Linked DNA regions of Stegostoma tigrinum. The protein of the gene in region 3 binds, or shares a complex with, the protein of the main gene of each other region. Links are inferred from orthologs where the notes say so. Each region holds a gene or a part of one and is shown on either strand. Other genes may lie near its edges. The genes, in order: tubgcp4, tubgcp2, tubgcp5 and mzt1.

Region 1 (7,413 bases), on a different chromosome or scaffold from region 3:
GTATCTGAATTCCGAACATTAACTCTGTGTTTTTCTCTCCAGTGATCGTGCCAAACATGCTGAGTTTCTCTAGCTTTCTCTGCTTCCAAGTCAGGATAGTGAGTGACCCGGAAAAGAACTATATATCTGCCCTTGTCCTTCTAATAGGTAGAAGTCATGAGTGTGGAAGGTGCTATTGAGGGAGGGAGGCTTGCTGAGTTACTGCAGGGCATTTTGTAGATGGTACAGATGGCTACCACTGTGTGTCCGGGGAGGGAGTGAATGCTTAAGGTGGCGAACGAGATGCCAGTCAAGCTGGCTGTTTGGTCCTGGGTGGTGTTGAGTTTGTGGGGTGTAGTTGGAGGTGCACTCATCCAAGCAAGTAGCCAGCATTGTATTACATGCCTGTGCTTTACATCGTGGACTGGCTTTGACAATTCAGGAAGTCTCAGAATCACCAGATTCTGACATTCTGTTGCAGCCACAATATTTATATGGCTGGTTCAGTTCCATTTCTTGTTAATGGTAACTCAAAAGTGGGGGACACAGCAATGGTAATGCCTTTGAACATCAGGAGGAGATGGTTGGATTCTCTCTTTCTGGAGATGGTCATTGCCTGATACTTGTATGGTATATGTGTAACTTGTCACTTATTAGCCCAAACCTGGATGTTGCCTAAGTCTTGCTGCAGTATAGCTGCATGCTAATTCTGAATCAATGGAATAAATTATCTGCAGATCACAGTAACTGTATAATATATTAAACCATCTTACAATGACTTGGGCCTTCCGTCACCTTCTTCCATTATATGCTTCTTTATCCATACTGATACCTTTGTAATGTGTAACCTATCCAGTACTAAGACAGATCTATTTCTCATCCAATATCTGCTGACCTATATTGGCATCCCATCCTAAGGAATGTAAAATTTAAAATAATCTTTAAATGGCTCCTTGTCTTCAGTCTGTTGTACCTTTGCACCTTCCTCCAGTCCTCTGCCCTTCCCCTTCAACTGTGGTCTCCCTGCTATTGGAAAGATTTGTTAAACTTGAAAGGGTGCAGAAAAGATTTACAAGGATGTTAGATAATAAAATGTGAGGCTGGATGAACACAGCAGGCCCAGCAGCATCTCGGGAGCACAAAAGCTGACGTTTTGGGCCTAGACATTATCTTGCATTCTCCAGGATCTGCAGTTCCCATTATCACATTTACAAGGATGTTGCTGGGTTTGGAGGGTTTCAGCTATAGATGGTGACTCAATAGGCTGGGGCTATTTTCCCTGGAGTGTTGGAGATTGAGGAGTGACCTTATAGAAGTTTGTAAAATCATGAATGAAATGGATAGGGTGAATAGTTAAGGTCTTTTTCTCAGGGTAGAGGAGTCCAAAACTGGAGGGCATAGGTTTAAGATTTAAAAGGAACATGAGGAGTAATTTTTCACACGGAGGGCGGTACATGTATGGAATGAGCTGCCAGGGGAAATGGTGGAGGCGAGTACAATTACGACATTTAAAAGGCATCTGGATTGGTATATGAATAGAAAGGGTTTAGAGGGACATAAGCCAAATGCCAGCAAATGGGACTAGATTAATTTAGGATATCTGGTTGGCATAGTCGAGTTGGACCAAAGAGTCTGGTTCCATACTGTTCATCGCTATGTGGCTCTAATTTGTTCCCCTTGACTCCAATAGTTCTTTCTCACACTGGCCGAAGAATCTTCAACTGCTTATGTATGACTCTTCAAAATTCTTTCACCACTTCCTTCTGCCTTTAGGAGCATCTCAAAACCCTGCATTTCTTCAACAAGCATTTTGTTATTTATTCCCAATCTTTAGTTTTGTGGCACCTTTTCCATTTTACACATGAATTATTTTGAGATTATGAACAAACAACTGAACAAGGAGGATGAGCAGTCTATTCTGCTCCTTGAGTCCGCTCATGGCTGATCTGATTGCAACTTCAAATCCTCATTCCAGCCTAGCCCTGATAACCTTACAGCCCCTCTGCTTAAAAAGAATCTGTCTACCTCTGATTTAAGAATATTCGGTCTCTGTTTCCAGCACTTTTTCACAGAGAATTCCAAAACTCACGACCCTTCTAGGGAAAACTGTTGACCTTATTTCTGTTTTAAAGGGACAATGCCTGATTTTTCAACAATGATCACTAGTTCTAGATTCTCTCAGAAGAGGAAATATCGTCTCCACATCCACCCTGTGAAGACCCCTCATGATCTCTGATATTTCAATTAAGTTGCATCTTCTAAACTCCATTGAAAACAGAATGGGCCTGTCTGACGTTTCCTCAGCAGAGAATTCTCTCATTCTGGGGGGTATTAGCCTAGCAAATCTACACTGAACTGCTTCGTTAGTGTTAAAAGCAACATTTTGCATCCATTAGGGATTCGGGGAATGGAGGATTATGGGTCGAAGTGGGAACAGCTCATGAGCAGATTGAACTCTTGCATGGATAGATGGGCAAAATAGTCTGTTTCTGTTGAAATTTACGTGCAATATTAATGGAGAATGCAGTTTTTGGGTCAACAGTTGTCCCAGTTCCTCATTTGTGTGGCTCAGTACAGCATAGCTATCCTGTTCATGGCACTTTTTCATTACTGAGAACTACAGCAAGTTGAGATAGGCGAAAATGTCTCCATTAAGCTGCAAATCCTGCCTCAATATATAAATGACAAAATAAAATATGCATTTACAATTCCACTCGACCTATTTTCAATATTTCCCGGTGGAAAATGAGCCAAGTCAATATAGATTGGTGCATCAATATATTTGTTGTCCTCCACATGTAGAAATTGAGAATTCAGATGTGGCTACTTGAATTTCTGATGAATAAAGAGTAACAGATGTCCACAGTGTGTCATCTGATATCAATAATTGTAATGATGTGGAGGTGCAGGTGTTGGACTGGACAAGGTCAGAAGTCAAAAGACACTAGGTTATAGTCCAACAGGTTTATTTGAAATCCCAAGCTTTTGGAGCGCTGCTCCTTTGTCAGGTGAAAGGTATTTCAAATGAATCTGTTGAACTATAACCAGGTATAATGTGATCAGAGATAATGGAAATTGCAGATGCTGGAGAATCCGAGATAACAAAGTGTGGAGTCGGATGAACACAACAGGCAAAGCAGCATCTTAGGAGCACAAAAGCTGATGTTTCGGGCCTAGACCCTTCATCAGAGCATCCTATTTATTTGTTGTTACAATAATGACAAGAATAATAGTGTGTGTTGATCATCATGGCTGTTGGATTCTCTAGAACACTGAGGGGTGTTGGATGTTTGTTAAGTAAATATACAAACTTTGACGCCCAATTACACAGATTGCGTGGAAGGTTTTTTTCTTTAAATCAGCCCATGCACTGCAGCAACTCACCAAAGTTCCTTCAACAACACATTCCAAACCTGCAACCTCTAGCATTTGGAAGGACAAGGTCATCAGACACATGGGTACACCACCATCTGCAAAAAAGTGCAAGTTCTCCTCCAAACCATCCTGATATGGAAATATGTGATAGCAAGGTGCAGAGCTGGATGAACACAGCAGGCCAAGCAGCATCAGAGGAGCAGGAAAGCTGAACGTTTCGGGCCTAGACCCTTCTTCAGAAATGTGCTCTGCACCTTGTTATCTCAGATTCTCCAGCATTTGCAGTTCCTACTATCTCTGAAATGGAAATATATCGCTTTTCCTTCAGTGTTGCTGTGTCAGCATCCCTCCCTAACGGGACTGTGGGTCCATCTATCCAATATTACAGGGGGAAAATAGTGAAGGGAAATTAGCAAAACCAGGAAATGAACGTACTGGGCATCATAGAAGAGGCTTCGCAGTGAGGTTAAAATAGTATCAGAGATAATGGGAACTGCAGATGCTGGAGAATTCCAAGATAACAAAATGTGAGGCTGGATGAACACAGCAGGCCAAGAAGCATCTCAGGAGCACAAAAGCTGACGTTTCAGGCCTAGACCTCTGATGAAGGGTCAGCCCGAAACATCAGCTTTTGTGCTCCTGAGATGCTGCTTGGCCTGCTGTGTTCATCCAGCCTCACATTTTGCTATCTGGGCATCATAGAATTCAGTTTTCAAGAATACAAAGCAAATGGAAGCAATTTGTATCCTTTCCACTTTTAACCATGCAGTTCAAGAAGGACAAGTATCATCATAAAGGGCAAGTAGAAATGGGCAATAGATGTTGCCCGTGCTACTGGATCCCATGAACCAAATATTAAGAAATGTGGCTAAAACTTTGATATTTGTAGACACACACACGTGACAAAATTGGCTGTCACATGCAAACATACAAGCCAGCATGAAAGATGGCGGCATCGTCAGCCTATTTGACTAGGTTCGTGCCAGTAACAGAAATGGCGAGCAGAGCAACTTGCCAGGAATAAACATGGTGGGCAATTGCGCGATCACTTCGAGCCGTCTATTGCCAGTCTCAAATATGGCTGCGTCCGGAGGTGCCGTACTGTGGTCCGAGTAAGCCGGTTGTTTCTAAAACCAAAAAAGCAAAAGGAATCGGAGCGTGAGAGCGATACTTGTCACCGGAGCCCACAACGGCGAGATGATCCACGAGTTGCTGCTGGCATTGAGCGGGTATCCGGGCAGCATCTTCAGTTGGAACAAGCGCAGCGGCCTACAGGTGAGGCAGAGCTTCAAGCACCATGGTAACCGAGAGGCCTGGGCCCTTCTCACGATGGATAACCCGAGCAAAGGAAACAACGGAACCTAGTTCCGTTTATTCAGAGAGTGAGAGAGAGGAATAAACTATGGCACATAGCAGTATCAGGGCGCAGAAGGTTGTCATTCTGCCTACTGAGCCTGCACTATTAATGGAGCTTATGCCAATCTACTGCTTTCCTCCATACCGTTAGACATTGTTTTTAACCTAGTAACCAGCCACTGCTCTGATCATCATGTTTCTGGTTCTGCTATGTTTCCAGGATTTCTGTCTGAACCGCTTAGTCATCGGAGTTTTTAACAGCACAGCGAGAGACCTTTCCGCCTGTCAGCAAACATCCGTTTATTCTAACATAAAGCAAAAAACTACAAATATTGCAGATCAAAAACAAGGACAGATCAACTTCTTCTGTTTTTGTTTATTTTCCATCTATTCTGATCCCATTTTCCAGCACTTGCGTTTTGCGTGCTCATCTAAATAGCTCTTATACACTTTGACAGTTCTTGCCTCTATCACACTTTAAGGCAGTGGGTTCCAAATATTCACCACCTTCTGGGTGAAAAATACTTCCTTAAATCCTCTCTAAATCTCCTACCCCTTGCCTTAAATCTGTGCCACTTAGTAACTGAACCCTCCACTAAAGGGGAAGAGTTTCTTCCTAACTATGCCTCTCATAATTTTCTACACCTCAGTCAGGCCATACAGGCTGGCAGGACTCAAAAGGTATGTGTATAAGCATATGTTTTCTGGGATGACCAGCTCCCACATTCATCACTGGATGATGTGCTGCACCCGTATGGCCCAGGCATGCAATGCCTACCTATCAAGAAGGGTAAGAAAAACACTGAACATGGTGAATGAAACATACTGGTCCGGTGTCAGAGATAATGGGAACTGCAGATGCTGGAGAATCCAAGACAACAAAATTTGAGGCTGGATGAACACAGCAGGCCAAGCAGCATCTCAGGAGCACAAAAGCTGACGTTTCGGGCCTAGACCCTTCATCAGCTCTGGCTGACGTTTCGGGCCTAGACCCTTCATCAGCTCTCTGATGAAGGGTCTAGGCCTGAAACGTCAGCTTTTGTGCTCCTGAGATGCTGCTTGGCCTGCTGTGTTCATCCAGCCTCACATTTTGTTATACTGGTCCAGTGTGTCTTGTTTGCTTCAAAATGGAAGTCCAGCACTTTCGCTTCCTAGCGTGACTGGTTTTCACTCACTTTTCCCTCTGGACAATTCACAAAGCCATTCCCCGAATGAATATCCTTGCCCTTAACAGCTGGGACAGTTCATGATAGTGGCTGCCGGATCCTGATTAAGTTAACACTGGCCCAGTCAGTGACACCCACAGCTATGCAGTGGGGTGGATTGCTGTTAAATGGAAGGAATATCAGTCTCCTGTTTCAATAGTAGAATGCAGAGATCATAATGTAAGAAACAGGAGCTTGAGCAGACAATGTGGTTACTCGGTGTCTGACATTTGGTATAATTGTGTCTTTTCTTTGGTGTCAACTCCACTTTTCTACCGACTCCCCGTATTCCTGCATTTGAAGAATCCTCTCACAGTCTGGAATACATTCACCAATGAAGCATTGACATACCTCTAGAGTAGAAAATTCCAACCCAGACAGAAAAATCAACTTTTACTGTTCTATCCTTCTGCAAAGGTTTGTGGTCGTGGCTGGTGCATGTGTTCTGTTCCCCACAACTCCAGCACTGTAATGTTCCCACTGAAATTTGGTTTGAAGAGGAAATGGCCCTGGAGATAAAATGCCTTAATAATAGGAGTGAGTGAAGGTGGAGTCATATTGTGGATGCTGGTATTGGACTAATTCATAGTAAATGGAGTCTGAGAGGAGTGGCCTTGTGTGGTATGGATGTGTTAGAACATAGAACAGTACAGGCCCTTCGGCCCACGATGTTGTGCTGAACTTTTACCCTAAACCTAAAGTCTATCTAACTTCCACTCCTACCTTATGCTATCATCCATATGCCTATCTAGTAGCTGCTTGAATGCCCCTTGAGCCGACTCCACTACCCTCTCTGGCAATGCATTCTACGCACCTAGCACTCTCTGTGTAAAGAACCTCCCTCTGACGTCTCCCCTATATCTACCTCCACTCACTTTAAAACTATGGCCCTTGTAATAACTACCTCCACCCTAGGAAAAAGGTCTCTGGATGTTCACCCTATCTATACCTCTTTTCATTTTGTACACCTCTATCAAGTCAGTTAGGCTGCTTACTTCTGGATCTGTATAAATATATTCTGGATTGTATAATCACCCTATCAGAAAGACCCACTGACGTTTTCTCTCAAACAGCTGATAATAGGCAATAAATGTCACTTTTCCCAGTGTTGCCATTTCCTGAGAATGAATTTGTGTGTTCTGGGTTCACCTGGTTCCTTTCTGCTTGAATAATATACCTTGTATATTATTCAGAAGCATGAATTAAATACAGTTCTCAAGGTGTGACTTGACACTACAATTTTGACTAGTCTAAGTGGTAATGTGCAACATTCAGCTCAAGCATAAATATTTTACTTAATACCCGCCGGCAGCTTCTCACTCCCCCTTCTTTTTTTATGACGTCTTTAAAGCTAATGTCTTTGGCCAAGCTTTTGGTAAACCGGCCTAACATATATGCTTTGGTTTAATATTAGTTTTTGTACGATGACATTCCTGTGAAATGAGTTGGGACATTTATTATGTTAAAAAGGTTACATTGACACAAGATGTTGTTAATT
Region 2 (7,305 bases), on a different chromosome or scaffold from region 3:
GCCACCCATTTCATAGATTTACATCTAGCACATGTTATTCAATTACACTGAAATCAATTTTGCCTGAACAGGTCTAAAATTCTCTCCTGTCATTTACACAAAATAAAATTGTACATAAGCACAAAATAGAAAGGGCAACAAGTTGTCTATATATGCCAAGACTAACTTTGCACAAGATTACAAAACAAAACTACTTGCAGCTATGACAGGCAGCACTTTGCTTAAGGAATTGGCACCGAGTTGAAACTAAGAATGCTTAAATCAGACAACAATATACAGTAGGTTGGCTACAAACTTAGCAATTATGGCTGGGAACTCACCACATGCAAATAACAGCTTAAAGTCATTAGTAAATTGTAGGCCGTGAGCTTTCCCGAATCTCAGCAAGATACTACTTATTCTGGAACCACAAAATCCTCAACTACGGATCAATATTTGAGCACCAGCTTCTACAGTCCATATTTTAGTAGTTACAGGAGCAAGAACTTGAACATAAATAATCACTGATGTTTGAATTTAGTAACTTACCTCTGTCTACAAACATTTTCTCTAATAATGCTACAATCACTTAAGTTAATTAAGCGGCAGTGATATACATTAAGCAAGGAACAAAAGAAAAAGATCTAAAATCTTCTAATCTGGAAATTAATATTTGAAAATCCATAAACTGCAGTATAGTAATTATAAATGAAACAGGCTTGAAAATTAAGTTTACACAATTTGAGGTCATTCTCTGTTTCAATATCTAGTCTAGTAACTTCCAGCCTTGATATTCTCTACCTTTTCCATTCCTCCCCTTACACTCTTAAATTCCCTCTCTCCATCACTCTAAGCTCTTTAACTCTCCTTCTCAATTCTTGTATCAAGTTTCATCTCTCCTTCTTGATTTCACTGTTACTGGGATTGCAATAATGTCCCAAACTCAATGATCATGCATGTTGTGTTAACTGAACTCTTCATGATATAAAGCCTCACTGAAATTTCTTCTTCATTTTATGGTATCAATAATAACATCAATCCATTATGAATCCAACAATCAGGTAAAGTGTATTTTCTAATAAATGTTTTCAACATTTGCATAAATTCAAGGATAGAAAGCAATTTGCTGGAAAGGACTGATACAACTTGAGTTGCAGAAAACTGCTACAGATGCACTGCTTACAATAAGGCAAGGTCCCAACCTTACATACAGCATTTATTAAAGTAAAACATTCCTAAGCCTTTTACAAAAACATGTCCAAAAAATTCCTTTGACACCAAGACACAATGGGCAATTCAGGACAGATCAGGACACACTTTAAGAATAAGGGGTCTCCAACTTAAGACAACTATGAGGAGAAATGTTTTCTCTCAAAAGGTCATGTGTGCAATTCTCTTCGCCACAGAGTGGAGAAGTTGGGATCATTGAATATTTTTAAGGCTAAGTTAGAGAGATTCTTGACTGACAAATGAGTTAAGGTGAATCAGGGATTGGCATAAAAGTGGAGTTGAGGCTAATATTAATTCAGACATAATCTTGTCAAATAACAGAGCAGGCTTGAGGAACCTCATGATGTGCTTCTGAGTCATTGATTGGGAAAAGAAAATCCTGGTCCAAATAGTAGGTCTTAAGCCATGCTTTAGGAGAATCAGATAGGTGCAGCATTTAGGGAGGGCGGTTCAGTGGTTAGCACTGCTACTTCACAGCGCCAGGGGCCAGGGTTCAATTTCACCCTTAGGTCACTGTCTGTTTGGAGTTTGCACATTCTCCCTGTGTCTGCATGGGTTTCCTCCCATAGTCCAAAGATGCGCAGGGTAGGTGGATTGGCCATGCTAAATTAACCATAGTGTCCAGGTGGGTTAGATATGGGGAAATGGAGGGGTAGGGGAATGCGTCAGGGTGGGATGCTCTTTGGAGGGGAAGTGTGGACTTGTTGGGCTGAAAGGCCTGTTTCCACATTTGTAGGAATTCTTTAAAAATCATAGAGGTTAAGGCAAGAATAGTAAAGCAACCAAAACACAAGTGCAAGATGGTCGAATTGTCAGAGTGCAGAGATCATGAAAGCTTGTAATAAATAAAAGCAAAATTTTACGAATGCTGAAAATCGAAATGACAGCAAATGTTTGAGAAACTCAGTAGGTCTGAACGCTCAAAGATTTTATTTTTATTTTACATGTCCAGGTACCAGTGTATTTTGCTTTTGCGTACAAGAACTTCGTCTTTATTACTAAAGGTCTGAGGGGTCGGAAAGCGATTTAAAAACAAAGTTACAATTTTTTAAAATGGGGAAACCCGCATGAGGTGGGTGCGCACCTGATGCGATACAGTAATGCAATGACCTGTATTCGGAATATAAAAACATGAGGCCCTGTGGTTTCCCCCCGCTTCAGATATTAATACCCTCGGTTTGTGGAGGGATTGAGGTAAACTGTTTATTCCAATTCTACCCCAAGACTGAGCCTGCACGGGTTAGGGGCAATACAAGAGGCTGCGAGAGGAGGAGGTCGACCTAAGGCGCACATCGGGAGTTAAGAGCCTGGAAATGCCCCTTAGCTTTTTCAGTCAGGGCGGTTTGATTTTAGACCGGCAGCGGAAAGCTGGTCTCCCCGGATCAGGGCCCTTGCAGCAGCCCGGCCTGTTTACCAAAACAAACAGCCAGACCTGCTGGGGGAGATCGCGCTCATTTTTAAATATAACCCCTTCCCAACGCACACGGAGACAGAGGCCCAGGCCGCTCCTCCCGCTCTCTGCCCGGGGCCGAACCTCACCTTTCAGCTGCTCCACTCACATCAAACAGACAACAACATCCCCTCTCCTCCGAACAATTGCAACCGCGCCGCCACTTCCCCCTGGAAAACCCGAGGCTCCGCCGCTCTGTTCCACCTGAGTTTTGCACATAAAGAAAGAGGCAGGGAAGAGAGTAAGGAGGCAAGGAAGACGCTTGGAAGGGGCCTGATGTCGACGGGCGCTTGGACCCAGACGGAGACGTCAAGAAGGGACGCGCGCGGAGGCCAGATGACGGTTACTACGCACGCGCACTGAGGGGGCAACGCGGCGGCGGTTGCTGAGCATGCGCAGTGGTGAGTCCGCCGACTGGATGAGTGTACGCATAGTGGGTTGTCGGTCGGTTGTTGCTGATGAGAGGGGATCTGGACGCCTTGGTCTAGGCCAGGCTCGCTACTCTGGCCGGCGGTGGCGTTCGTTGAAGCCGGAGGGGATGGGGCGGCTGGCGAGTCAGAGCTGGGGCCGTCACCTTTTACTTTCAGGTCCAGGAGGATCTTCCTGCAGAAAGAGGACGAATTTTTCGAGGTTAGTGGCGGCACGTTAATTAAACTGAAACCTTGAGTCCTTGGGGCGGGGAGTGCAATGTTGGTGTCCATTCAGTTGCATTTAAACAGGTCAGGTCATTCCCTCGTTGCTGTATATATGTGTGTGTGAGACAGAGAGAGAACTTGCTGTGTGTAAGCTGATGGCCGTGTTTCCTTTATAAGTAAAAACTTGTATTTCTGTAGCGCCTTTTACGATTTCAGAGCATCCCAAAGTGTTTTGCAGCCATTGTAGTAGCTAATTAACGGAAAATCCCGCAAACAACAATGTGATAATAATCAAAGCGTTTGCAGATTTCCTTTCTGAGAGCTTTCTCTTGAACATCAGGTATGGTGAACGGCCCAAACAGTTGCATCTTTAGAATTGTGGAGAGGTTCACTAGAGGTTCACTACTTACTTAACTACTTACTTCGTGCAGGCGAACAGCCAAGTATTTAAAAAGTGATGGACATGAGATTTATCGATGTATTTGTTTTAACCACAATGTGCAGTTTATATTGAGCCCCCAGCACCTTCCAGTCAGCATTAATCAAATCGGCCAAACTGTTAAGGGTTTTCTGAAGGAAAGTCCCAACCCGAAACGTCAGTTTTCCTGCTCCGTAATGCAGCTAATTTGCATTGATGCCTAGCTGACGTTTAGGTAGCGACTAAAAGGATTGTCACACTGCAACAAGTATATTTCCTTACCCTTGGAACTAAATTACCTACATAATAAATGGAGTTGAAATTGACCTTGCTGTAAAGAAACTAAATTTCATGGACACCTTTAGCTGATGACTGCATTCACTTTGATCGTTAGAGATGGTGGTTTTGGTAATAAAGGAAATAAATTTAAATTATATTCTGACAATATGAGCGTATAGTAAAAGAAGCATTACTATGGGATGCCTTGTTGGATGATTTGCTGGCAGTCAAAACGTGGGAAGTATGTCCTTGGCTAGTCAGACATTGTGATAAGTTTCAATGGATGCTGATAGTGTAGAACCGTTGATAGCTTTGTGTCTTCTGATTATATTACCTCTAGTTTGGGTTTACTATCTCATCCAACAGTCCCACGGACTTGGCTTTTCAGTGCATTACTGTGTTTGCCCAGTGTTGATAATATTAGCTATTAGATGTATTGTTGCTTACCTTCCACTACAAGAAGGTTCTTTTATACCAATAAAAAATTGAAGTTTGTATGTAACTGATTAACTTTTAACTACTTCGCAAACCAATGATTTATTGAAAATAATTTAACCTATTGTTTTAGGATGGTGATGTCTGTAGACATTTATATCTGCAAAATTCTATAACAAATGTGGAAGAAGCAGAAAGACCCAAGTAAGTAAAGCTGTTTGCATTTGAGGATTGCCCCTTTACTAACTGGATTCCACCAAAGCCATTTTAATTGTCCGCTACTACTTTTCTGAAGAACTAACTTATGTATATTTATGTTTCCATTTTTTAAAAAAATATCTAGGGTTTCTGAATTCTGTTGCCAAATAGCAGGTTGTAGTCAACTGTTTGATGCCTTAGAAAACTACGAACATCATTATAATACATTTCACCGCAATGTCTGTTCCTCCTGCAAGCGCTCTTTTCCTTCCAGTCATCTGCTAGATATTCACATCCTGGAATGGCACGACTCATTTTTCCAAATTTTGGCAGCGAAACAGAACATGGTAAGTGATTATGAAACTCTAAATCCTGAGTTCTTCACTGGTGTGTGTTAAATCTGTCAATATTTGCTGTAATGTATAGAGTTGTCTGAACTCCATGCAGAACCGTGTGCACTTGTCTCTGTACAAAGGCAGGATGATCTAAGCAGGAATCTCAGTAACTTCTGCTGATGCAATACAGTGATGATGAACTGTCTTAAGAGGAACCATTTGGATACTGCCAACTCAGGGTACATTGTGACTGTTGAGTGGGAGAAAATGAGAGCAAACACTTTTTATTACTGTTACATCTTTTCAAATTAGCCAAGGCAAGATTATGGGAAAAGAATTGTATCAGAATCAAGCATTCAGAGGTGAGAGCTATTTAGGAGTCTTACTATTCTTCCCTAACATCAGAGATTGCATTTGTAATTGCCACCAGAGTCAAAGATTGTAGCAATTCCATTAGGAAACTAGGTTATTAATAGTATCCTTCATGTGAGATTAAATGAGGGAATAAAGTGAACAATAATGTTCCTGTGGCATTATTCACATCCTTATTGGCTCATATTCTATCAAAGAACCCTTGGCCCTGACTACTACCTTGACCTGCTGAAGAGGATTTTGGAGACATTTATATTTGTGAAATCTCTAGATCGTCTGCATGTAGCTAGAGTAACAAACTGTACTACACATCAACTTAGCAGATCTCCAATTCTTAAGGAGGGTCAGGAATAAGGCATGCTAGTACTCAATGCTTTTTCATATCTCTACTATGCAGAGTAGAGACAGTAGTGGTGGTAGGTTTACCTAAATCAATATAATTTATAAGGACCTTGGCTACCCTGGCTGCAACACAAATTATGACCAATGTACAAAAAAATTGCTGAACATCGAATGTAAGTAAGTCCATCTCTTGATTTTTTCAAACATGGGATATCAGCCTTTGATCCATACTTTGTGCAATGCAAACAAACATTGTTTTTAACTTGAAAAAACATTGTGAAAGCAACTTTAGTCAGTTAGCAATGTCAGCAACCCCTAGTCCTTACTGACTAGAGGGAGCACTTTTCTTTATTAGCATGATTTAAGGTCTGTCTAATCTGTGGTACCGAAAACCTTTCCACATGTGACACTTGGATTTTTTTTCTAATAATGAGATTGTTGTTCTTTTTCATACTGTAATGTTTCCCATGATGGTTGTCACCTACAGTATGATGGGTTCTCCTTTATTTTGTAATATCTTAGCATTGGCTTGTTGGTGATTTTCAAATGTGATTTTGTTGCCCTTAAGGGGAAAGCAATGACATAGTGGTAATATCTGTAGACTACTCATCCAGAACCCTAGGCTAATGTTATGGGGACATGGATTCGAATCCAGCCATGGTGCCTGATCAGATTTGAATTCAATAAAATTCTGGAGTGAAAAGCCAGCCTCATGGCAACTTATGAGACTATTGTCGATTGTTGTAAAAATTGATATGCTTCACTAATGCCCTTTTTAGGGGACAAAATCTGCCATCCTTCCCAGGCCTGGTCCAGGTTTGACTCCAGACCCACAGGAATGTGTTTGATGCTTAACTGTCCTCTGGGCTATTAAGGATGGGCAGTAACTGCTGGTTTAGCCTACGATGTCCACATCCCATGATCAAATTTTTTAAAAATAAAAATGGTATCTCGATTAATATACATCATTTCTGATAGTCCTTCAGTTATGCACTAAAGTGTCAACCTAGATTATGTGCTCAAGTCTATAATAAGCACTTGACCTTCTGATCATTTCTGCCAAAGCTTTCTTTATGTAATCAGTATTTTCATGGTAATTAGGCATGTAATAAGTAAGGAAATAAAACTACTTTGTCAGTTAAAATAAGGGATTCATACAGCGAAAGGACAGATTCTGCACAGAAGTTAATCGATTAAGTCAAGGACCCTGTCCCCAGTTGCGCCAGGGTGGGAATGGAAAGAGTGTCTCATGACCATGAATGTCTATGGATTATACAGTGTTTAATATATTAGTGCTGCCATTCTGCACCAATAGTGGGAGGGAGGCCCAGGATATGCCAGGAGGCAAAGTTGGCTATAATCTTCTACCTTTAAGAATGCAAATGAAATGTCCAATCAGGTCACTGACGTCTGTTAGATTGATTTCCTTTCCTGGAGAAGCTTTTGAGAATTTATATGGGCATACTGAGCAGATTTCCTACGGTTGTGTGGGAAGTCATGACCCCCCCCCCCCCCCCCACCAATGCCCAAACTAGGATTTATATGCCACAATCCACAGGGCAGTATGAAATTTGTCTCCAAAATTCGTGCCATCTTACATCATCATAATGGATTTCTGGAAAAATCACTGTT
Region 3 (7,807 bases):
AAAGGACCTTGACTATTCCCCCTATCCATGCCTCTCATGATTTTATAAGCCTCTTTAAGGTCATCCCTCATTTCCAACGCTGCAGGAAAAATAGCCCAACCTATTCGGTCTCTCCTTTTGGCTCAAACCCTCCAACCCCAGCAACATTTTTGTAAATCTTTGCTGAATCCTTTCAAGTTTAAAACAAATTTTCCTACAGCAGGGAGACCAGAATTGAATGCAGTATTCTAAAAGAGACCTGAACAATGTCCTGTACAGCTGCAACATGACATCCCAACCTCTATACTCAATGCACTGACCAATAAAGGCAAGCTTACCAAACGCCTTCTTCACTACGAACCTGCACCACAAGGTCTAAATTAAACTTCATCTGCCAATCCTCAGCCCATTGGCCCATCTGATTAATGTCCCACTTCACTCTAAGTTAACCTGCCTCACCATCCACTACACCAATTTTGGTGTCATCTGCAAACTTACCAACTATACCTCCTATGTTCACTGCCAAATCATTTAGATAAATAACAAAAGCAGTGGACTCAGCACTGATCCTGCAGCACACCACTGATCACAAGCTTCCAGTTTGAAAGATCACCACCCTTTGACTCCTACCTTCATGCAAATCCTGTTTCCAAATAGCTAGCTCTCCCTGGATTCCATGTGATTCCTCACACAATAATAGCTCACATGTTTGTAACATTCTAAATTTTGAAAAGCCCGAGCTGATTTGTTTTTAAATCATTATTTGCTGAGATTTTAGAGGGTATACAGCTTTCATGAAATATCATTTGAGCATGGCGTAAATGAATTCAGAAGAAGTTTGAGAGTGAAAACAATGTGAAAGTACAAGCAACGCCAAGCAGCATCTCAGGAGCACAAAAGCTGACGTTTCGGGCCTAGACCCTTCAACAGAGAGCATCCTCTCTGATGCTGCTTGGCCTGCTGTGTTCATCCAGCTACACACTTTGTTATCTTGGATTCTCCAGCATCTGCAGTTCTCGTTATCTCTGAAAGTACAAACAATTTTTTTTAAAAACAAATATGAATACATTGATCAATTCTTAAGATTACACAAAATTGTAGAAACAGTGAAGTTCAGTTCGATTTAACAAGACTGAGATGAAAACCTTTGTTCCTTCGACAGTCTCAAGGGGCAAATCCAGAAATTCATCCGTTAACCTCCGCCAGCTTACAGCTTTCGGGAGTTCTGAATGAATAATCAGTTTTTCGTGGATTCTGAAAAACAAAAGTTAAGTCAGTTGACAACATTTCATTACTTCTGTACAATAAGGACCACATATAAGTGTATGAAGAACCTCACCCATCAATCACACGTGTTATTTTCTGACTGTCAACGTCAAGAAATCGATGGAATCTGAAAGAATTAAAAAGTCGAAGCCAAATATCATGCAACAGGAAATAGAAATAGAATAAAACAGACAAACCAGTTATACAATATTACTTCTTACAAAGCTAGCAACGATCTATTGGTGGTGGAATATTCACAAATGTTTCTTTCTACTAGCAGAATTAATTATTCTTTTAAAATAAAAGATCATTTTTGTCACATTTACATGGTTCTAACTACTATACTTTAGCCAAGTTGAAGAGTCATGCTGTTCCTAATTTTTCAGAATCTAAATTGACCATCAAAAATATGCAAAAAGCAGAACACAGAATAATTTGATCACAGTTATGTCTGCTTGCAGCCTCCAATGTAGGGAAGGGAAGATGGACAGGTCAAGGAGGCTGGGAGATAGGAGGTGGAGGTTGAGATGGGAGCAGTGAATAGGTGGTAGGGATAGACGGAAGTGGCGGAAAATGATGCGTTGGATCCTCCGCCACTTCCACCAACTGCAATCTGACCCCACTACCAGGGGCATTTCCCCCATCCGACCCGACCCGACCCGACCCCCTTATCCCCCTTTCATCCCTGCCTGCCTGACCTGTCCGTCTTTTCCCTTACCTATCCGGTCCTCCCACCTCAAACCCCACCCGCTATGTACCAGCCTCATCCCCGCCTCCTTGACCTGTCAGTCTTCCCTTGACTGACCAACCCCCATCCTAACTCCCCCTCCCCACCTACAATAACCTTTACTGGCTCCATCCCCGCCTCCTTAACCTGTCCGTCTCCTCTTCACCTAATTGCTCCTTTATCCACCTTCCATCCGCCTGCCCCTCCCTCTCTATTTATTTCAGAAACCCCTTCCCCTCCCCCATTTCTGAAGAAGGGTCCAGGCCCGAAACATCAGCTTTCCTGCTCGGCGTGCTGTGTTCATCCAGCTCTAAACCTTGTTATCTCAGATTGTCCAGCATCGGCAGTTCCTACTATCTCCTAAACGCTATTTACTTTGTTCAAGCTATTGACTGTCTGGCCCCACGTCCCCACACCCCGGCCATATGTGGCTCAAATGGCGTCAAAAGTTGTCCATCCCAAGCATCTGAAACACAAACAGAAAGGTCTGCAGAAACTCAGCAGATCTGGCAGCATCGGGGAAAAAGAGCTAACGTTTCCAGTCCAATAAACTGCGTGGGATGAGGATCACATTATTTATTTAAAGGCACACAAGTTATTGTTATAACATCTACTGAATGCACATTTTCCAAACTAAAACGAACCCTCAATGTTATGAGGGATAATGGGAACCGCAGATGCTGGAGAATCAGAGATAACAAAGTGTGGAGCTGGATGAACACAGCAGCATCTTAGGAGCGACGCCGCTTGGCCTGCTGTGTTCATCCAGCTTCCCACTTTGTTACCTCAATGTTATGAGGCTTCGGTTACCTGACGTTAGACCACGTGAACTGCAGCGCCAACTGGAAATCAGGGTCCTCCTCCGGGACCCCGCTAATGTACTGTATCAACTTCTTCAAATCCTTCTCGAACTTATTCCAATGCGCCATGTCGATAAATTAAAAAGGCGTGAACGGCTCCTTTCCAAACAAATCACCCGCACATTCTGCTTACAGCCACCGCCGGAAGTGACTCTTCCCCCGGAACCACTGTCGGGTCAGCTCGTTGGGACGCTCGCGGACCTGGTGAAGTGGTAGTTTAATTTCGAATTTTAACGTCATTTCAAGTGGATTCGCCGTCTAGATCCTGCGGGGTACCTCTGGGGTGGTAGGTTGTGGGTGTTGAGATCGGTTCCGTGTTGTAGATGCTGCAGTCTCCTCTGTTTAAGAGGCCTGCAGGCGATAACATACTTGCGTGCTTAAATGTTCATTTTTTAAATTTTATTGCACGTCGGTGGTGGTCTGAATGATATTCCGAATTATGGTGACTTGTTTATTTAAAGAACGGGCTGGCGTAGTGACAATGGACCAGAGCACAGGTTAATGATCTGTTGTTATTTTTCTTATTTAACGTATTTTTTTAAAATCAGTCTGTTCAGGGATGTTATTGCATCTCTGTGGAACGGGTGGACCATGAAGAAAGGTCTCCTGCTTCGAAGGTGGGGACATTATAACTATGCCACAAGAGTCCTAGTGGATGTTTTGTTTTTTTTAAACTTATGCAGATGGAACTTGAAGTTGATCCTCTGTGGTGCAGAGTTATGGACACTGCGACAAGAGGGTCCTCTGACTTGCTTTGTTTAAAAAAAAAGTAGCCTATTTTTCCTACTCAACCTGTTCAGACACATTATTACACACCTTTGGAGCAGGTGGGCCTTGAAACTGGGTGTCCTGGACCAGTGGTTAGGACACTACCATTTTGCCACAAGAGGGCTCTCATCTGAAAGCTGAAGTAATTCATTTTAAAAATGAGATTGGTGTTGCATGTCGATTGTTTTAATTTGTAACATGGTGATGTAATGATGGTTTAAAAAAAGACATCAAGGCTCTTGTGACACAGTGCTCGTGTCCCTACTTCTTGGCCAGGAGGCCTCTGTTCAAGTTGAACCAGCTGCAGAGATGTGTAATAGCATTTTTGAACAGGCTGTTTAGGAAGCTTAGGTTAAATCATCTTTAAAAAGCCATGGCAGGGAACCCTCTTGGGGTGCAGAGGTAGAATCCCTATGCCTGGAGCAATAGGCCCAGGTTCAAGTACCAGCTGCTCCAGAGGTGTATAATAATGTCTAAACAGATTGATTAGGGGAAAGAAAAGTTATTTTGAAAAAAATTTTAAAAATAAAGACATCTAGGGCTGTTGTGCCATAGGCATAGGCCCCTACTTCTAAGCCAGGACACTTTGGTTCCAGTCCCGCTTACTGCAGAGGTGTGTAATAGTATCTCTGAACAAGAAGACAAAACCTTGAAAGTGCTAATGGGAACTGCAGATGCTGGAGAATCCAAGATAACAAAGTGTGGAGCTGGATGAACACAGCAGGCTAAGCAACATCTTAGGAGCAGAAAAGCTGATGTTTCAGGCCTTGACCCTTCATCAGAAAAGGGGGATGGGGAGAGGGTTCTGAAATAAATAGGGAGAGTGGGGAGGTGCTTTGGTCCGCCCTGCCTCCCTAACCTGTTCTTCCTCTCACCTATCCCCTCCTCCCACCTCAAGCCGCACCTCCATTTCCTACCTACTAACCTCATCCTGCCCCTTGACCTGTCCATCCTCCCCGGACTGACCTAACGCTTCCTACCTCCCTACCTATATTCTCCTCTCCACCTGTCTTCTCCTCTATTCATCTTCGATCCGCCTGCCCCTCTCTTCCTATTTATTTCAGAACCCTCTCCCCATCCCCCTTTTCTGATGAAGGCTCTAGGCCCGAAACGTCAGCTTTTGTGCTCCTAAGATGCTGCTTGGCCTGCTGTGTTCATCCAGGTCCACACTTTGTTACCTTGAAAGAGCTCTTGTGGTCCAGTGATAGTGTCCCTACCTCTGGGGTTGAATGGCAGTGTTCAAGTCACGCCTGCCTCAGACATTCCCTTGAGCAAGTTGATTTAAAAACAAACTTGGAATTGAAACCTACTTGCATTAATGGAGACCAACGTAGCTATTATCCATTATCAGCATTTGTATTTGCTTTAAGACCTCTTTTCTAGTGTTTCTGCTTTCGTGTTCATATATAATCGACAACTGCTCAAAGTGTATCAAGCTTGAGGTGGCAGGAGGGGATAGGTGAGAGGAGTTAGGCTAGTTAGGGAGGAGCTGCAGCCCAATGGTATCAATGTGGACTTCACAAGCTTCAAAATCTCCCCCTGCCCCACTGCATCCCAAAACCAGCCCAGTTCGTCCCCTCCCCCCACTGCGTCGCAAAACCAGCCCAGCTTGTCCCTGCCTCCCTAACCTGTTCCTCCTCTCACCTATCCCCTCCTGCCACCTCAAGCCACACCTCCATTTCCCACCTACCAACCTCATCCTGCCTCATTGACCTGTCCATCCTCCCCGAACTGACCTATCCCCTCCCCACCTATACTCTCCTCTCCACCTATCTTCTCCTCTATCCATCTTCGGTCCGCCTCCCCCTCTCTCTCTTTATTTCAGAACCTTCTCCCCATCCCCCTCTCTGATGGGTCTCAGTTCAAAATGTCAGTTTTTGTGCTCCTGAGATGCTGCTTTGCCTGCTGTGTTCATCCAGCTTCACACTTTATGATCTATACCGAGTTGCTTTAATACATTTGGATAAGCACATGGATGTACATGGAATAGTGTAGGTTAGATGGGCTTGAGATCAGTATGACAGGTCGGCACAACATCGAGGGTCGAAGGGCCTGAAATGTGCTGTAATGTTCTATGTTCATTTCCAATAGTGTTTGATTTACAACAGACATTCTTTATAAGGGATACGGATTGGAGTGCACAGTTTCTAGACTCTCAATGTAATATAACTGACAAATTGCAGGCAGAGGAGGTCATTACAGCCAGCTGCCTGCCCCTCTGCTGTGGTTACATTTGAGCCTGGGTGAGGAAGAGAGGAAGCATGCCATGTCTACCAACATTCTTGATGCCTCTAGGGAGAGGTGCGTGCCATGGGGTGGAATGCTTTATTTTGTCCTCTAACTAACTCTTTTGATTTTGGTCCTTACCCTCCGCCTCGCTTTTTTTGTCATAAGGATTGCTTGTTCCACGCTTTGCTTGTTATTGGTGCACTGGCTACATGTGTGTTCTTCCTGGTCGTGGAAAATATTGAATAAAATTATCTTCCATGTTGTATTTTTACTGACTCCTGCACTTGCACACATGCATGCAACACAGCTGCTGTGGGGAAATGTAAACACTACTGCTTTAAGGCAGTAGTGTAGGGTATAAAATGTAAAGAGAAAAAAAGACCTGGAGATTAGAATATAACTGATAAGTCCAAGGCAGCAATCGCTCCCATTGCACCTCTGCAGCAATTGCCCCAAACTGTAGTGTGATCCTCACTCTTGTGTTTGCAACATCTAGTTGAGGACAACACCCCACACTGGAAGATTAGCAAGTTTTGGACAGACCAAAGAGTTGATAGAGTTAAATATTGTGTAGGTCCCTGGGAACAGTCCTGTATTAGAGAGCTTCTTAGGGTAAATCTCCAGACATGTAGGCAGGATTTAAGAGGAAGGTGGGTTTTCACTGTCAGCCAAACTACATTTTATGCTTATTTATCATGTCTGATGATGAGGCATTTCACAAAATGATTTGAGCAGCCTGCTCAGGGAACCATCTGACATGATCTGTTATCTACGCATCTTTTGTAATATCTGGGATAATAGAACCTTAGCATGTGTTAACACTTGATGTTTGTGTACTAATGATCTTTGCACAGTTTAGTGCGGATGCACACAAATGTGAGGACAATGTTTGGGGCGCTCAAGGAAATTTTATTAGTCCAATCTCCTGAATACTGAAGCTGCAAGAACAGGAAACAAAATAAATCATTCCACCCCTATGGCCCCCACCTCTCCCTAAAGGCACAAAAATAACAAGGTGTGGAGCTGGACGAACACAGCAGGGCAAGCAGCATCAGAGGAGCAGGAAAGCTGACGTCTCGGGTCTGGACCCATCTTCGGAAATGGGGGAGGGGAAGGTGGCTCTGAAATTAATAGACAGAGGGGGAGACGATGATAGACGGTGGATAAAGGAGCATATAGGTAGAGAGAAGACAGACAGGTCAAGGAGGCGGGATTGGGGCTGGTAGGTAGGAAGTGGGGGTGGGGGTTGGTCAGTGAGATGGGAGGAGCAGATAGGTGGGAGAAAAGATGGAGAGGTCAAGGAGACAGGGATGAGGGGGGCTGGTCTTGGAATGAGGTTGGGGGAGGGGAGATTTTGAGCTTGTAAAGTCCACATCGAGACCATTATGTTGCAGGGTTCCCAGGGGTGCTGTTGCTCCAGCCTTTGGGTGGCATCATTGTGGTATCGGTCAAGGCCCTGGGATGGACATGTCGTCCAGGGAGCGGGAGCAGGGGTTGAAGTGGTTCGCAACTGGGAAGTGTTGTTCATTGTCACAAACCGAGCGTAAGTGGTCCACAAAGCGGTCTCCAAGCCTCTGCTTGGTTTTCCTGATGTAAAGGAGGCCACATCGGGAAGAGCGGATACGAGATACCACATTAACAGATATGCAGGTGAACGTCTGTTTAATGTGTAAGGTTTTCTTGGGGCCTGGGTTGGAGGTGAGGTGGGAGGTGTAGGGGCATGTGTAGCACCTCCTGCGTTTGCAGGGAAAGGTGCCAGGGGTGGTGGGGCTAGTGAGGAGTGTGGAGCAGACAATGGAGTGGTGAAGAGAGTGGTCCTTCCAGAAGGCAGTTAAGGGTGGGGAGGGAAATATATCCTTGGTAGTGGGGTCAGATTGCACGTGGCGGAAAATGACATGTTGAATCCGGAGGTTGATGGGGTGATATGTGAGGACAAGGGGAATTCTGTCTTTGTTGATATTGCGGGGAGGGGATGTGA
Region 4 (7,448 bases), about 73 Mb from region 3:
TAGGGAACACAATGGTGTGATGAAATTGCGGGCCATCAGAAGCTGTCATGTTTTGTACACAAAACATAGGTGTTCGGCAAAGCGGTCGTCCAATTTGCATTTCATTTTTTTAGTGTAGAGGAGACCATATTGTGAGCACTGCATGCAATATACCAGATTGAGTAAAGTGCAGGAAAATTGCTGCTTCACTTGGAAGGTGTGGGTGGAGCCTTTGACAGTAGGGAGGAAAGAAGGAAATGGGCAGGTTTTACACCTCCTGCAATTGCATGGTAAGTTGCCACGTGAACAGAAGGTGGTGTTGGGAGTGGAGGAGAAGTGGTCCAAGGTGGCTAGGAGGGAACAGTCCTGGCAGAAAGCTGGCAAGGAAAGAGAGGAGAATGTTGGTGGCATGCTGCTAGAGGTGGAGGAAATGGTGTCTTATGATCCTTGGATGTGGGTGCTGTTGAGGTGGACGATGAGGACCACTGGGACCCTATTGGTTTTGGAGTAGTAAGGGAAGGGACGAGGGTTTAATTGCACAAGATGAGCTGGACACAGCTAAAGATCCTGTTGACCACAGCAGCGGGGAATTCTTGGTTGAAAACAACGTTGGAATAGACTCTTTACAGGAAGCACGTATGAGCAAGTATAGACCAAGAACTGTGAGAATTGATGAGTTTGTAATGCTTATCCCCAGAAATGGAAACAGATTTTGAAGATGGGGAGAGAAGAGCTGGAGGAGAAATTGATATCTTTCCAATTCTGGATGAGGGAAGCAGCATCAATAATGTCAATACACCAGAGAAGGAGTTGTGATAGGAGCCCCAAGAAGAGCTGGAACAAGAAATATTCTATCTACCCATAAGGAGATAGGCATTACTGGCATGCTGATACCTACGGCCACAGTTTCAATTTGAAGAAAATAAGAGGAGTTTAAGGGGCAGTTATTCAAAGTAAGGATGAGCTCGGAAGAGTAGGAAGTATACAGGGCAGTTCAGGCCTTCTTCCAGGAAGTAGTGGAGGGCCCCGAGATCATCCCATTGGTGGTTGGAGGTGTAATGGACTGCACGCCCATTGTGAGGAGCAGGAGTCACACAAGCTGGAAATTGGCAAAGCATAAGAAGAATCACAAATGTAAGTGGGAAGGACCTGGAGAGGAGAGGAAAAAACAGAAAATCAAATCGGGTTGGGACAAAAGAATTTGTGGGCCAGGATCACGCAGAAACAATGGTCTGCCCAGGCAGTCCTGTTTGCGGATTTTCTCTGTAGCATCTGTTCTGACGATGCCAGCTTCTGCAAGGGGCCACTGAAATGTCCACCTCTTTCTCAACTGAGGATTCCCTGCTACCATGGTTGACAGGGCCCTCAGCCACATCCAACCCATCCCCCGCACTTACGTCCTCACTCCTCCTCTTCCCACCCTAACACGGATAGGGTCTCTCTGGTCCTCACCTGCCACCACACCAGCATCACATTTAAAGGTTCATAAGCCACCATTTCCACCACCTCAAGTGTGATGCTGTCACCAGACACATTCCCCTTCTCTTACTTGTGAGTCTTCTACAGGCACCATTTCCTATGGTATAACTTGGTGCATGCTTCCTCCGTTCCCAATACATACCACATCCCTGTGGCACTTTCCCAGAAATGTGCAGAAGGTGTAAGAGATGCCAGTTTACTTCTTCACTTGTCACAATCGAAGGCACCAGACATCTTCCAGATTAAGCAGTGATTTACATCCGCTTCACTTACTCATCTACTGTATTTGCAGATCACAACCTGGTTTCCTCTACGCTGGGGAGTCAAAACGCAGATTGGGTGGCCATGTTGCAGAACACCTACGTTCTGCAAAAATGACAGCTCCAATTACCTGCAACTTCAACACACCACTGTGCTCCTTGGCTAACATTTATGTCTCAGGTTTGCTGCAGTGCTCCTGCAAAACTCTTTGAAGGGTCAATATGCACCCAATGGGCTGAATGGCTTGTAGAACCCCTGCAGTCTGGAAACAAGAGGCACAGTAAATTGTATGGGCCTATATTTTTGAACTTGCCTAGTCAAATTAGCTTGCTGTGTACTGTTCATGCTTAAATGGATTTGACAAGAAGCATAAAAATCTAAGAAATAGGAGTAGATCATTCTAAGGCCCACATTGCATTAATGAATAAAAGAGAAATTCTGCCTTTTGAGCCCAGTCTGCCATTTAATGAGGTCATGGCTTCTCCGTCATCACCAATTCCTACACAATCCCTGGATATTACTTTTAAAAGTGGAAAGCTATCCATCTCACTCTTGAAAATACTCAAGAACTAGGATTCTATACAGTTTTTTTTGTGGGTGGGGGGATGCTTGAGCGAGAATTGAACAGATTTGCTATCCTCCGCGAGAACAAGTCCCTCCTCATCTCACTCCCTGAAAGGTTGTCCCCTCATTCAGAGGCTGTGACTTCCGGGTTCTGGACATGGGTGTGCGGAGGGGCGTGCTATATCCACCCTGTCGAATCATATTCGCATGTCTGAACGGAGATCACCTCTTCTGGTCACCGAGGAACACAGGTATGAGCTGTCTACTGAAATCTTTTGCTCGTAGGGTACATCCTTCTCCATCCAGAAGGAAAGTAAAACAAAGTAGTGGAGATCCCAACCCGAAACATCAACTTTCCTGCTCCCTCTGATGCTGCCTGGCCTGTTGTGTTCCTCCAGCTCCACACTGGAGAAACTCAGAAGGTCTGGCTGCTCCTGTGGAGGGAAGGCAGCATTAACGTTTCGACATTCTTCCCCTCCCAGGAATTTGGAGTGATGAAGCCGCGATCAACTCCCTTTTAATGACATGGAGGATCGGTAGGAAGACAAGAACCGCCAACTTCAACACGAAATCACTCGGTTCTCTCTCACACTCACCGTCCATGGTCTCCCTCACCGCGTTCAGGTTAGCAGCGTTCGCCATTGCTCCACCTTTCACCCGGAACCACAGCCGCCCGGTCCCCGCCCATTACATCACCACATCTTTAAAAAAAACTAAACTAGTCACCGTAGCAAGCAGGAAACTGTGGTAATAAATCTTGTGAAATAACCGGTCGGCGTCCAACCGATGAAACGGGATCGACTTATTATCACTGTGAAGGTTTTCCTCTGGGTCAGCGGCCGTTTAGAATCTTGGCTGCCGTTTGAATCTGATTGGTTGATGCTGGCGCGCACCCGCCGATTGGTTGCCGTCTCACCGCCCAAGGAGACATTCCGATTGGCTAACGATAACTGAGACCGGTAATTGGCTATATCCCTTGCCAATGTTTGTGTTTCTTTGGCTGCCACCATCCAAACCAGGTGATTGGCTGGCTGCGTTCGCTGCGGTAGCCGCTGATTGGCCAGCGGCTGCGGGAGGGACATTCAAGGCAACGAACTCGGTGAGAGGAATATTGAAGGTAAGATCTACTTAAATATCACTTTAAAATAGAGAGAGAGACACTAGTGTCAAATAGTGTGTAAAACGGAGAGAAACTGGGATGGAATATCATCAATGTCTGGTAAAGCAGAGAGACTGGGGTGAAGTTTCATCAATATCATATAAAATGGAGAGAGATTGGTGTGAAATTTCATGTAAAACTAAGGGTGCCTCGGGTGGAATACCATCAATAAGTAAGAGAGACTGGGGTAAAATATAATCAGTTTCATATAAAACGGAACGAGACAAGGAAAATATCAATATCTTGTAAAACACGGGAATCGATAAAATGTTGTCGATATTATCTAAAACACGGATAGATTGGGTGATATATTATCAACATCATGTAAAATAGAGAGGAACTGAGGTGATATAATATCAATAACATTTAAAACAGACATACTGGGTGAAATATTGTAAACTGGAAAGTCTTGACTGAAAATATCACATAAAACAGAGGGTAGAGTGAAATATCAATATCATGTAAAATAGTGGCAGGTAAAATATCGTAAAATCTTTTAAAATAGAAAAATGGCTAAAGGATTGTTGATATCATGTTTTTGTTGATTCTTAGGAGACTTGAAAGGGTAAATGCAGACAGGTTGTTTATCATTCTGAGTGACTCTAGGAGCAGAGGGTTTAATTTCAGAATAGGGAGTCACCCATTTAAGTCAAGGATGTGGATGAATCACTTCTGAGAGTAGTGAATCGGTGGATTTTTTTTAAAATCTGGAGGGCTACACAGGCTGGGCTGTCAAGCACATTTTCTGTTTGTATACAAAGCATCTTAAGCATACATTTTAATATATAGTATATATGTGTTTAGTAGACTAAGTATATAAGGCTATGATAATCTGCAAGGGAATCTAGGGTTATGGGGAAAAGGCAGGAAAGTGGATTGATGATTATGAGCTTGATCTCATTGATTGAATCTCCTCCACGAATGAGCTGAGTGGCCTACTTTGCCTATATCTTATGCTCAAAAGCACGCTATGTGTCCTGCATCTCTCACACACGTGTTTCAAGAAAATGTTCATATTTAACTTCTCCAGGACAATTAGGGATGGACAATAAATGCTGGCCCAGTCAGCAATGCCCACATCCCGTGGATAAACATTTTAGAAAAATTAGTCGAGTTCTTGAATATATTACATAGCATGAAAAACTGCATTATTTATTGTATAAAATGTTTGCTCAGCTAGAAATTAATTCGTGTTCTTTATATGTGAAGAACCCAAATCTGCATAAAATAGTTCTTGGACAATGGATACAGCAGCTAAACGAATTATATGAAGAATGTCATTAGTTAATGTGACTCCACAGAAGCAAGATATGTAAGCAGATGTGCTGTGATACACTTGCTGATGTAGTGCAGTTATCATAATATGCTTAGGCTAATTAGTATATTAAAGATATCTGATTAGTAAGGAACTTTCTCAAACAAAATTAAGATTATTCTTTCAGCTTGTCTGGGTAAGGCAGGCTGAGGGTTGCAGAGGGGATAACCTAAATGATCATGGCAGCACAGTACACAAAGACACTCGATGGGAGTAAGAAAGAATGTAGTTGTGGTAGGACACAGGATTGTGAGGGAGATTAACAAAGTTTTCTGCAGCAAAAAAGCATGAGTCCAAACAGTTGTGTTGCCTGACAGCTGCCACAACGCGGGACACCTGCTTGGGGCTGGAGACGAACTTGCAATGGGAAGGGAAGGACCCAATTGCCATGGTCCACGTCAGTACCAGCGACATAGACAGAACAAAGAAGGAGGCTCTGCATTGTCAGTATGAGGAGCTGGGTGCAAATTTTAAGAAGCAGAACCTCAATATTCATAATCGCTGTGTTATACTTGAGTCACTTAAAAACTGCCATAAGGTAAATCAGACTTGACAATTGAATGTATAGCTGAAAGACGACTGTCGTGGCAGAAATGGGTTCCAGTTCATTGGTACTGACACCAGTTCTGGGAAAGTGGGATCTGGATAGATGGGCCGAAGCATTTCGAACATTTTCCAATTTTACTACTTCGTGTTGCAGAAGAGTCTTTTCAGACTTGAAATGTTAATCTTATTTCTCTCTCCATAGGTATTACCAGATCTACTGAGATTCTACAGCATTTCCGGTTGTTGTTTCCAGTTTCCAATATCTGCAGTATTTTGTTTTCATTAAAAGAGTAGGTGTGAGACATATGTGAAAATTTGACATTAAAAAACATATTGTTTACTTATTTCACAAAGATTCTTGTTTCCCCAATAATAGAAGTGGAAAGGTTCTACTTACTATAAGGAAGAGGAATGGGAGATTTGAAGAGTGAGACCAGGGTACATGTAACACCAGACACACCCGGGCGACCTCCTGTTTCAAATCCTTTTGAGAGCCCCAGTGATTATGCAACATTGCATGAACCAGTAGTCCCTAGTCCCTCTGTCTTCAAATTAGTGAAAACACCTGATTCACAGGTATGTTTGACACTCCTTAAAGAGAATTCTTTTCTCTCATATTGAATACAAAATATTGTAATTTAATTGATTTTGTGTGCTATAAAAATAGCAGTGTGGAATGTCAAGTTTTTTTTTAGGACAAAGGCGTTTTACCATATGAAAACTATATTTGAAAGAGTGATACCTGGTTGTATTAGCCATTAGAAAATTAAAGTTATATTAAAGAGATAGATCGAAGTTAGAGGAAATGCTTTAAAGCAAGGAAGATTCTGATTATCAAATTTTCGTTACATTTGTTTGGGATCACTTAGTCTGTGGTTAGTTTGAAAAGTGCCAGAAACAGTACATATTCTTCATTTTAGCCCATATCATAACATTGAGGCTAGCACTGAGGGAAGAGCTGTACTGGTGTTGACTTTCACTGCATTCCAACAGTGACTACAATTCAAAGTATGTTTCATTGGCACTTTGAAGTGTGCTGAGGTTTCAGAAACCAGCTATAAATGTAAATTATTTCTTACTTATGTTGGATGGCTTGAAAATATACTACTTTCCTTGCTTAGACACCTGGAAAATTCAGATGGTCCATTGGAGAGCTTGCCATCCTGCATCCTATTGAAATTGATCCAGAAGATGTTCACCAGCAATCTGCATACATGAGCTGCACCAGGTTACCAGTTTTCTTTACTATGACTTGCATACAATGCAGCCATTAGATCAGCATATATGTAATTAGATGCCCTTTCTCATTTACATGTATTAGAGTTTTGTTTGCCATTTTGATGGATAAGATGATGAGGCACTCTAGAGTCATTTTCTTGCTTGTGTTTCAATTCCAAGTGATTTGACAATATCAACATATCCTCAATGAATTCAGTATGTGATTAATGCTCCTTCAAAAGCAACTTCCAAATGCACACCCTCTCTCACCTAGAAAGACAAGGGGAGCAGATAATCGGAACACCAGCACCTACAAGTTCCCCTGCAGCCACCACCATCGTGACTTGAAACAATATCACCGTTCCTTCACTGTCTATGGGTCAAAAACCTGGATCTCCCTTCACAACAGTGCAGTGGGTCTCCCTACACGTTTAAGAAGGCAGCTCACCATCTGGACAACTAGGAATGGACAATAAATGTTGGCCTAGCCAGTAAAGCCCATAAATTACCCATAAGAACTATGAGCAGGAGTAGGCAACTCGGTCTGTCAAGCCTGTTCCACCACTTGATCATGGTTGATCTTATTTCAGCCTCAACTCCACTTTCCTGCCCACTCTCCATAATCCTTCAACTCATTACTAATGAAAAGTCCATCTCCTCCTTAAATTTACATGAATGTCCCAGCATCCACTGCACTCTAACAAATTTCACAGATTGATGACCCTTTAAAAGATGTAATTTCTCCTCATCTGTTTTAAATTTGCTATCCCTTAGCCTAAAACTGATCTCTTGTTATAGATTGCCACATGAGGAAACATGCTTTCTACGTTTACTTTGTCAATCCCCTTTTGCATCTTGTATCCTCTCGTACTTCTAAACTGCAGAGAATACAGGCCTGAACTGCTCAATCTCTCTTCGTAAAACAAA

Evidence for each region.
Region 1: the proteins of tubgcp5 (region 3) and tubgcp4 are in contact, whole or in part, in a cryo-EM structure (PDB 9I8M), measured with the Xenopus laevis proteins. The link is inferred for Stegostoma tigrinum from reciprocal best matches to the Homo sapiens genes TUBGCP5 and TUBGCP4. Residues at the interface, in XP_018102626.1 of Xenopus laevis: His233, Leu234, His235, Leu238, Ile241, Trp242, His245, His300, Met301, Thr302, Asn304, Cys305, Ser308, Val309, Gln312, Ala392, Ile393, Leu395, Asp396, Lys397, Arg410, Leu441, Asp442, Tyr443, Asp444, Asn445, Val446, Gly447, Glu448, Ala449; in XP_018110859.1 of Xenopus laevis: Met1, Ile2, His3, Glu4, Leu7, Tyr12, Pro13, Gly14, Ser15, Ile16, Gln29, Pro32, Phe33, Glu60, Thr63, Gly64, Ile84, Arg87, Ala88, Arg91, Arg101, Leu105, Gln109, Leu112, Pro115, His116, Leu117, Val178, Gly181, Val182.
Region 2: tubgcp5 (region 3) and tubgcp2 share a complex: the UniProt entries of both Homo sapiens proteins name them as parts of the gamma-tubulin ring complex. The link is inferred for Stegostoma tigrinum from reciprocal best matches to the Homo sapiens genes TUBGCP5 and TUBGCP2.
Region 4: the proteins of tubgcp5 (region 3) and mzt1 are in contact, whole or in part, in a crystal structure (PDB 6L81), measured with the Homo sapiens proteins. The link is inferred for Stegostoma tigrinum from reciprocal best matches to the Homo sapiens genes TUBGCP5 and MZT1. Residues at the interface, in NP_443135.3 of Homo sapiens: Gln14, Gln15, Asp18, Val19, Glu21, Leu22, Val23, Val26, Ala27, Gly28, Asn36, Ala40, Phe43, Ala44, Asn47, Phe48, Arg52, Phe53, Leu54, Phe72, Lys80, Ser83, Trp84, Leu87, Thr88, Glu90, Phe91, Ala106, Ser109, Ile110; in NP_001065243.1 of Homo sapiens: Glu23, Val27, Leu28, Glu30, Ile31, Ser32, Ile34, Leu35, Asn36, Thr37, Leu39, Leu44, Ile46, Cys47, Val48, Arg49, Leu50, Cys51, Glu52, Gln53, Ile55, Asn56, Pro57, Glu58, Ala59, Leu60, Ser61, Ser62, Val63, Ile64.

What each region holds. Positions count from the first base shown.
Region 1 is NC_081389.1:21,469,126-21,476,538, forward strand, and holds the start of tubgcp4 (gamma-tubulin complex component 4), read left to right. Parts: upstream 1-4,399; 5' UTR 4,400-4,551; coding exon 4,552-4,629; intron 4,630-7,413. UniProt on the Homo sapiens protein: Component of the gamma-tubulin ring complex (gTuRC) which mediates microtubule nucleation.
Region 2 is NC_081390.1:12,448,287-12,455,591, reverse strand, and holds the start of tubgcp2 (gamma-tubulin complex component 2), read right to left. Parts: upstream 3,002-7,305; 5' UTR 2,749-3,001; intron 1-2,748. Other genes in the region: znf511 (zinc finger protein 511), read left to right, coding at 3,051-3,060, 3,123-3,289, 4,560-4,630, 4,770-4,971. UniProt on the Homo sapiens protein: Component of the gamma-tubulin ring complex (gTuRC) which mediates microtubule nucleation.
Region 3 is NC_081359.1:97,918,549-97,926,355, forward strand, and holds the start of tubgcp5 (gamma-tubulin complex component 5), read right to left. Parts: upstream 3,002-7,807; 5' UTR 2,902-3,001; coding exon 2,783-2,901; intron 1,373-2,782; coding exon 1,319-1,372; intron 1,234-1,318; coding exon 1,125-1,233; intron 1-1,124. UniProt on the Homo sapiens protein: Component of the gamma-tubulin ring complex (gTuRC) which mediates microtubule nucleation.
Region 4 is NC_081359.1:25,382,814-25,390,261, forward strand, and holds the start of mzt1 (mitotic-spindle organizing protein 1), read right to left. Parts: upstream 3,002-7,448; 5' UTR 2,926-3,001; coding exon 2,880-2,925; exon of another isoform or gene 2,766-2,879; intron 2,535-2,765; exon of another isoform or gene 2,480-2,534; intron 1-2,479. Other genes in the region: bora (protein aurora borealis), read left to right, coding at 5,715-5,879, 6,425-6,531. UniProt on the Homo sapiens protein: Required for the recruitment and the assembly of the gamma-tubulin ring complex (gTuRC) at the centrosome.